Linked DNA regions of Drosophila melanogaster. The protein of the gene in region 1 interacts with the protein of each later gene in a pairwise test. Each region holds a gene or a part of one and is shown in the gene's direction. Other genes may lie near its edges.

Region 1 (4,169 bases):
TACTCCGTGTCCGCTAAAACCGGTGGCTAGGTACAGATTGTTGTAGTACGGGTGAGCTCCTAAAATGCCGTTCTCGTCGTATACGTTATGATCATAGCAGCCCGCCCAGCTATCCACCACTTGGGCTTCTCCAAGAACGGGAATTCTATTATACAAATGGGGTCTGATGTGCTGGGCGAAATATTGCGGATCAATCATCGCGCTATTATACTCTTCCGTCGAATCTTGCACGCAAATATAGTTGCCGCCCAGGCCATCTCTGCGAATAAAGATGCCCGACGGATCTATTGTCATGGGCATATTCATTCCGGGTGCACTTTGGGCCTGCGAGTTGATGGCGTACATGTATCGCTTGCGTGCGTTGATGGGCAGCGGAACCCGAAGTATTCCTGGACCCACGCCTATCCTTGCTAATCGCGCGATTTGTTCGGAACTAGCACCGGCGCTTATTACACACAGGGCGAACTTGCAAGTGCGTCGCGTACCATCGGGCAGTTGGATGACCGCTTTTTCCAAGCCCGTGTAGGCACCCTCGTTGGAACCAAGATCTGTGACAACAGAAATGTCCGTTTGGGATTTGAACTCGAAGTCGACCACCTGGCCACTGATAAAATGGGCGCCGTAGCCACTGGCTGACCGTCGGAAATTGCTCAGAAGTGCCAACGGATTAAACCAGCCCTCTTTTTCCAGACCAAGACAGCCCAAAGCGATGCCCTTGGTGTTTAGCCAGGGGAATCTGGCAGTCAGTCGATCTGCAGTGAGAAGTTCATTTCGGGCACCCAGTTCGTTTTGTAGCTGAGAGGAGCGCTTCAGGCTTTCCGCGTGCTCCTCGCCAGCGAGCATCAGATGGCCATGGGGCGTAAACTGGAGAGGCACTTCCTCGCCAAAGTGTTTTCTTGCGCTTCGCAGGAAGTCTGCGGCAAATAGTGACATTTGGATGTTTTCGGGCAGGGAGAATTGCTGACAAAGACCGCCCACCGAAACACGCGTGGCTGACTGGGCATACTAGAAATATGTGGAAGGCAAATTAAATATTCGGGGTAGACTGGTACACATCATTTTACTACCGTGTCATCCTTCTCGACCACCACAACGTTAAGACCGTCGCGGGCCTTCTCCTTCAGCCAATAGGCGATGGAGCTGCCCACTCCACCGCCGCCAATGATGAGCACATCGCAATGGGTCTGGAAGTCATCCGGCACAGTGGCTTCCTTGCTCTTGTCGCGCTCCCCTGAAAAGTGAAACTGGCTCTGTGTCGGAATGGGAACTTTCTCGGTCTCCGGTTCCTTTGGTACAAAGAACTCCTTAACTTTGCGCATATCGTTCCCGAGCAAACGGAGTGTTCGTCGTATGGGGTGCAGGTCTTCGCCGGATTTGTCGCCCCCGGAAGATCCACTTCCATTGCTCGTTGCTCCGGCCGAGAAATTACGGCGCTGAAGGAGACCCACCACTTGTCTGTACCGCAACATTTTATTCTCTTTAATTTTAATTTAATTCATATTCCGTATTAATTTTTTATTTTGTGTTATTTTGTAATAGTAATAACGTGCGATGTTATCGGAGTATCGATATCGAAAAGGCTTAACGGAATTGTGGTAATGTTTTATTGCAATTTAAATAAAAATACGCTTTTACTGAGTGCGTAACTTAAGAAAAGGCTTAACGGAATTGTGGTAATGTTTTATTGCAATTTAAATAAAAATACGCTTTTACTGAGTGCGTAACTTAAGAAATTCCTAACCCAAATTAAAGCAATAGATACATTTACTGTAAAACATTAAAAATAAATTCCTATAACATATGAGACTGAAAGTTCGCTCAGTGTACCGTAAAACGTATCGATAAATTGAAACGTAACGGCTTAACAGCTCTGTTAACCAACTAAATTTACCAGCACTGCCTGTAGCCGAAAACGAATAAGAAGAAGAAGCGACATTACTAGGCATTTTTGATTGGGATTGAGAAAAACAAAAGAAAAGTCGGCTATATTTGTGACCCCAGTAAATTGAGAGTTCCATTACAAAATGACCAACGCAACGGACATCGGTGCTAACGACGTGGAGATGGAGGTGGATCCAACGGCGGAGACGCTGGCTGACGAGAAGAAGAACCAAGATGTGGCCGCCGTGCAGGAGATCCGCGAGCAGATTCGTCAGATTGAGAAGGGGGTAGCCTCGAAAGAGTCGCGGTGAGTAGTGCAAGAATTAAAATCTTGTCCCTTCCTTATTATGGCTCATTTCCGCCAACAGCTTCATCCTGCGCGTCCTTCGCAATTTGCCCAACACTCGTCGCAAGCTGAACGGCGTCGTCTTCCGGAATCTTGCACAGAGTATTTACCCCGCTGGTGCAGATCGTGAGGCGGCCGTGGCTTTGATGCCCGCTGTGGAGAAAGACGCCACCGAGCTGCCCGATGTTCCCAAAAAACAAGTTGCCACCAAGGCTCCAATCGCCGAGGTCGATGCCTACTTCTACCTGCTCCTGCTGGTCAAGCTCATCGACGCCAGTGATTTAAAGCGGGCCGGAATTAGCGCCGACGCCCTAATGGCCAAAATCTCCATCCAAAACCGACGCACCCTTGATCTGATTGGTGCCAAGTCCTACTTCTATTTTTCAAGAGTGGCGGAGCTAAAAAACTCACTGGAAGGCATACGCTCGTTCCTGCACGCTCGTCTGCGCACCGCTACGCTGCGTAATGATTTTGAAGGCCAGGCGGTGCTTATTAACTGTTTGCTCCGCAACTACTTGCACTATGCTTTGTACGACCAAGCCGACAAGCTGGTAAAGAAATCCGTCTACCCGGAATCGGCCAGCAACAATGAATGGGCGCGTTTCCTGTACTATCTAGGTCGGATTAAGGCCGCTAAGCTGGAGTACAGCGATGCCCACAAGCATCTGGTCCAGGCCCTGCGTAAGTCGCCGCAGCACGCTGCCATCGGCTTTCGTCAGACGGTTCAAAAGCTAATTATCGTTGTGGAGCTGCTTTTGGGCAACATCCCGGAGCGTGTGGTGTTCCGGCAAGCCGGTCTTCGCCAATCTCTTGGTGCCTACTTCCAGCTCACGCAGGCCGTGCGTCTGGGCAACTTGAAGCGCTTCGGCGACGTGGTATCCCAATACGGACCCAAGTTCCAACTGGACCACACATTCACCCTGATTATCCGGCTGCGCCACAATGTGATCAAGACGGCAATCCGCTCCATCGGACTATCGTACTCACGCATCTCGCCGCAAGACATTGCCAAGCGGCTAATGCTAGACTCCGCGGAGGATGCCGAGTTTATTGTATCGAAGGCTATACGGGACGGCGTGATTGAGGCTACGTTGGACCCAGCCCAGAATTTCATGCGCAGCAAGGAAAGTACGGACATCTACAGCACCCGGGAACCGCAGCTGGCCTTTCACGAGCGCATCTCGTTCTGCCTGAACCTGCACAACCAGAGCGTTAAGGCCATGCGCTATCCCCCAAAGTCCTACGGCAAGGATTTGGAGAGCGCCGAGGAGAGACGCGAGCGGGAGCAGCAGGACCTTGAGCTGGCCAAGGAGATGGCCGAGGATGATGAGGATGGTTTCTAAGCGGCTGATTCTGCAAATTAATTTGTGCTTGCATTCATTTTTATAGAAATATAATCCGCAATTAAATAAGTTACAATAATTTCGGAACTTTTTTAATTAGGTATTGGAAATCAAAAATAGTTCAGAACTGATCTTTCTTTTTATTCAAGCAAAAAGTTGTATGTTGTTGTTGGTAGACAATCAAAAATTTCAATTCGGTTAGAAATGGAAAAACATTTTAAAAATGTCACTCTTCTGGCAGCCTTGGCGCGTTAATTTAAAACGAAGTCTGGCAACATAGATTCATATTCTTCTTTAGATCTTTTCCCTCCAAAGCTATTTTATTAAAGATCCCTTAAGTACATTGGCAGGACTTTTCTCTGATTGATAGAGGTAATTTATGATATGTAAATTATAGATGGAAAAGATGCAAATATTATTTCAATTACTTTAAACACGACCTTCCACAAAAAGCACACTTTTTCTGACGAAGGTTTTGGTCGGCAGTATTAACGGTCACACTGGCGCAAACAACACAAACAGCAGCCACGGTCACACAAATCAAAGTGGAAAAAATTTTTAGACAAAAAGGTGCACACAATGCAAATTAATTAAAGGCC
Region 2 (4,885 bases), on another chromosome or scaffold:
ACACACATACTCTTTGATCCGTCAGGATGAGGATGTTACGTCTGCAGTTGATGGCCCTGCTGTTGGTGGGCCTGCTCCTGGCGCTGATCTCAGCCGATCCTGGGCCGCAGGACACGGAGGTGGCGCGAGAAAAGCGAGGCACCATCACCCTGGACTTTGGCCTGCTCCTGCGTAACCTGCTGCTCAAGAGCGCCCAGCTGTCCTCGGCTAAGGCCAATCTGGCGCGGACCACACGTCGTCCACCGACGACCACCACGACGACGCCGCCTCCGCCACCACCACCTGCTCCGATACGCATTCGTAAGCCCATCTGGCATCCGTTCTTCAGTTCCGGTTTCCTGCCCGGGGCCTTCGATGTGGACTACGCTGATCCTCCGGCACCACGACCTCCAGCGCCTGCGCCGCCCACTACACAGCCACCTAGACGCGTCCGACCGCAGGTGCGACCACGTCCACGCCCAACGACACTGGCACCGCCTCCTCCGCCGAACTATGACTACGACTATGACTATGATGCGCAGCCAGCGGCGCCAGCTGAACCTCCACCGCCTCCACCTCCTCCGCCGCCGCCCACAGCTCCGCCACGCCCAAGGCCACGGCCGCGCCCACGACCCCAGCAGCCCGATCCTCAACAGCGGCGTCCCGCCCAGCTGGGCGACCGCCTTATCTATCAGTACGCACAACCTACTGGTAAAATACGAAACCTCTTAACTAACTGCCGTACAATTGGGTTCTCTCCGACACTTTGCAGATACCTTCTTTAGGTCGCGAGCCGTGGCGGAGGCGACGGCGGCGGCTGACCCAGACAGCGGAGACTTAGTTGACTCCCAGGACCCGGACTCAGTTGCCGATCCGGATGCGGCTGCATTTCCTGTCACTGCAGATGGGCCTGACTCCCAACCTGCTTCTCCCCCACCAAGTGCTTCGCGATTTTTGGTCAACTACGAGAGCGATGACGACTTTGGGCAGCCGTTTGCTGGACAGCGGGCTCAGGATGCGGGTCAGGATGGGGGTCAGGATCAGGGTTCAGCGGGTGCTTCTGGTATTCCCGCATCATCCCAAGGCTACTTCCCGCCCCTCGAGCTTGGCAACACGAATCGCTTCCCAACTTTCAATCAGCAGCAGTACTTCTATAATTAAGCGGTAGAGTTTCTCATTTTTCCAACGTGGGCAATAAAATTAACTTCGCAGCTTGATATATTATGTGTATGTACATATGTATAGCTTATGTGTTGCAGTGTGCTTAAAATTGAACATAAACTATTTTAAATATAAGCATCCATTTTTTTGTATTCCCAGTTTGCATAGTTGTAAATAACATATCAAATAAAGTAATAATGTAAGTTCCCCGTAATTTATATTAACTAGGAGGGCGTTAAATAGCTAAGTAAATACCGTATCATGAAATTATCAGTATGTTTTCAAAAAGTGCGCCAAACTTGTTGCGATGAGTATCGGTATTTGACTTAGCGAACTGAGCTATTAAAAAGTTATTAAAAATTTGATACATATATGTGTTCTTCTAACATAGATACCCAACTGCGATTTCGTGAGCTGTAATTCTGCAGAATTCTGTATAAGTTAAATTATTGATTTTCAAACATTAAAAAAAAAAACTAATAATTCCAAAACGATAGCGTAACCACGGACATCACCACCCGGTGCACGTTCGATAGACTATCGATAGAGACCAAAAAACGAACCTTTTCTCTTAAAACTAATTGAATTGAGCGAATTCAACTATAAAAACGCCTCTGCAAGAGTTAACTTCGCAAACATATTGAAAAAAATAAGTTAATTTTAAATATATCGCCTAAAATCGGGATTTTTTAGTAAAAAGCGGTCAGTGGTAGTTTTTGGTTTCAAGCCGCTCGGCTGATCTGGTAACACTGTGTGCTGTGTGAACGTGAACTTTACGGAATTTAATTAGAGAAACGGGTGAAGAAAAGTTGCAAATAGACAATCGCTGCCAATTTTCCATGCCGTAGATGGGTGCATCTGCGACGTAACGATCCCCCGAATTCGGTGCTTGGCACTCGAGATGTGTAGCCAGTGCGGATTCGTGAACGCAACGCGTGTGCAGTGCAGGGCAATAGTTGCCATTCCCAGTAGCAGTATCACTACCACTACCAGTCCCATTCCGATTCCCGTTCCCAGTCGCAGCAGGGCCAATAACAGCAGCAGCGGTCGTAGGGAAAGCGACGTATGAAAGGGAAAAATGCATACAGATGCGAAAAGCGAGACCCAGTTGCGCCGATAAACAAGCAAGCACTAATTGATTGCCAAATGTAAGCCCTCGAACGCAGTGGAAAAAGTTCAAACGTTTTTTCTTTTTCGCCTCGCCAGATTTATGCATTTTCCACTGTCTCTCCATCCCTGTGTGCGTGTGTGCCTGTGTGTGTGAATGCGTATGCTCGTGTACGTGTGTGTATGTGCATACTGTTCTTTTTCGCGTTTGCGTTTTGGCCAATAAATGCGAATTTCTTGTGTGCCATCTGCCCATTGAATTAACAATGTGGTATTATCATTGATCCCACAAATTTCAATCAAATACAGCGCATTTGCGGGTTCTGAGTGCTACATCTGATTTCGGTGCGACGACTCCCTCAACGCGCGAGAACGGGATAGCACCAGTCGAACCATACGAATGTGTGTGTATTTGTCTGCTCCCCCGACGAGCGTGAGTGTGTGTGTGTGCAAGCAAAACAAAATTAGGCGATTCAAAACAGTTGCAAAATGCAGCGAAATAAGCCAATTTTAATCGCAACACATAGATCAACCATGGTAATCAGTCAATAAGTGGTCAGTCAACGAAGAAAACCAACAACTGGCGCAGCATCACCGCCTTCGTGCGTTCTTTTTCGGCTCCTTCGGTGTGTGCCTAGTCCGCACCCAAGGAAAAGCCAACCCAACTGAAAATCAATTCGAATCGCAGAACTCTTTGGTATTCTACTACAATTCCCTGTGACGGAGCGCCACAGCACAGTGCAAGCCACGGAAAAGGCACGAATTGAATTGAATTTGTGTCGCCCGAAATGCAAAACAACAAGCAATCCCACCGCACATATACATATAGAGCGCGCGCGTGAGTGTGTGTGAGCGACATGGCTGCTCTTTGTGCAATAGTGTGGTGGCTATGAAAAATAGGCGTGTTTCTGTTTCGCGTCGCAGGCAAAGAATTGCAGTCGCCGCACCACAGCGGACTAATTGTATTGAGAATTTTTGCCAGGCGGCGATAGGCGAAAGCCGGAGCTCCGACGGGGGCCAAAATCCGCGTCTTTAGCCGGCGGATATCCGCAGACGCCCGCAAAACGCCTCCGCATGCACAGACATGCATACTCCAATGTATGCATGTGTGTGTGTGTATTTGGATTCGCAACGGCGATAAATGCACCCCTTTGGTGCCGTTACTCCTTGGCAGCTCGCGTGTGTTTGTGTGTCAGTCGTAACGACCTTTGATTACCCTGCAGCACGTGTGCATACCCTACACCTAGCTAGTTAGTCCAGCTTGACCACAAATACCGCCCTACTGCACGTGCGCATCCACTCCACTCATTACTTGTTCGAAATCCAAGCAAATGAACTTAACGGCGTTAGTCATACCGACTGCCAAATGCCCTAGACCACTTACACCCCAGCTGTCGTAATCTGGCCAAAAAGCAGCTGACAAGTTGGTAACAAGCTGAGGAAAATAGCCTGGCCATAAAAGACGGTGCCAACAGTGAATATATTTGCGATAAGGCCGTGCTGCGTGCGGAATTCGGAGTTTTGAATGATTCGTACAGTATGTGCGAGCATGAATCACTTGATCGATTTGATGATAGTCGGCTTTTAGCTGTTCCCATCCGTCCGTCCGTTTGACCGTCTCCCCATGCAAATGCTGACCAAAGCACAGTGCCCACTGTCCACTGGCCCAGCCATTCCCGCTACGCCCCGTGCCGCCCAATTCAATTGGTCCGCAGTCTCAGCGTTTCAGCCTGAAATCCCCCAAAAATGTCGACCCTTTGAACATGACTAAGTGACTGGCGCAGGCTGTGAATGTGACTGACTAACCGGAATCGCCTTTTTTTCGCCCCACCCGATCCGCACAGAACTTCAAGACAGCAGAGTAGCCAGCTGGAGCTGCAAGCTGCGAGGAGAAGCACGCAGGTCGACCACTGAGAGAGCTGGGCTAGAGCATGAAAGACAGCCATGCCTTCGGCACGACCTGGTAGTCTCAAGGATCCGGAAATAGCCGACCTATTCAACAAGCATGACCCGGAGAAAATCTTCGAGGACCTGCGCGAAATCGGCCATGGGTCTTTCGGCGCGGTCTATTATGCGCGATGCAACCTCACCAGGGAGATCGTGGCCATCAAAAAGATGTCGTACACCGGCAAGCAGAGCCAGGAGAAGTGGCAGGATATTCTCAAAGAGATACGGTGAGCACTGGCTGACACTTGCGTTCGCCCGAGTGACTTCTAATCAATTTATGTGTACACAACAGCTTCCTTCGCCAATTGAACCACCCGAACACCATAGAATACAAGGGATGCTATTTGCGCGAATCAACCGCCTGGCTGGTGATGGAGTACTGCGTGGGCTCCGCCTCGGACATCATCGAGGTGCACAAGAAGCCGCTGCACGAGGACGAGATCGCCGCCATCTGTCTGGGCGTGCTCAGTGGGTTGAGCTATCTGCACTCGCTGGGCCGCATCCACCGTGACATCAAGGCGGGCAACATCCTGCTCACGGACAACGGCGTCGTCAAGCTGGCCGATTTCGGTAGCGCTGCCATCAAGTGTCCGGCCAACAGTTTTGTCGGCACGCCCTATTGGATGGCGCCCGAGGTGATCCTGGCCATGGACGAGGGCCAATACGACGGCAAGGTGGACGTGTGGTCGCT

What was found. The genes of interacting proteins can lie anywhere in the genome.
Region 2: the proteins of Rpn3 (region 1) and Tao interact in a two-hybrid assay, tested with the Drosophila melanogaster proteins (one large-scale study listed by BioGRID).

What each region holds. Positions count from the first base shown.
Region 1 is NT_033779.5:19,050,030-19,054,198, forward strand, and holds Rpn3 (regulatory particle non-ATPase 3), read left to right. Parts: upstream 1-1,760; 5' UTR 1,761-2,024; coding exon 2,025-2,188; intron 2,189-2,249; coding exon 2,250-3,570; 3' UTR 3,571-3,652; downstream 3,653-4,169. Other genes in the region: l(2)37Bb (lethal (2) 37Bb), read right to left, coding at 1-1,005, 1,068-1,469. UniProt on the Drosophila melanogaster protein: Acts as a regulatory subunit of the 26 proteasome which is involved in the ATP-dependent degradation of ubiquitinated proteins.
Region 2 is NC_004354.4:19,576,801-19,581,685, reverse strand, and holds the start of Tao (Tao), read left to right. Parts: upstream 1-1,885; 5' UTR 1,886-2,288; intron 2,289-3,183; exon of another isoform or gene 3,184-3,784; intron 3,785-4,091; 5' UTR 4,092-4,191; coding exon 4,192-4,421; intron 4,422-4,486; coding exon 4,487-4,885. Other genes in the region: CG14218 (uncharacterized protein), read left to right, coding at 27-690, 752-1,140. UniProt on the Drosophila melanogaster protein: Serine/threonine-protein kinase which regulates the Hippo/SWH (Sav/Wts/Hpo) signaling pathway, a signaling pathway that plays a pivotal role in organ size control and tumor suppression by restricting proliferation and promoting apoptosis.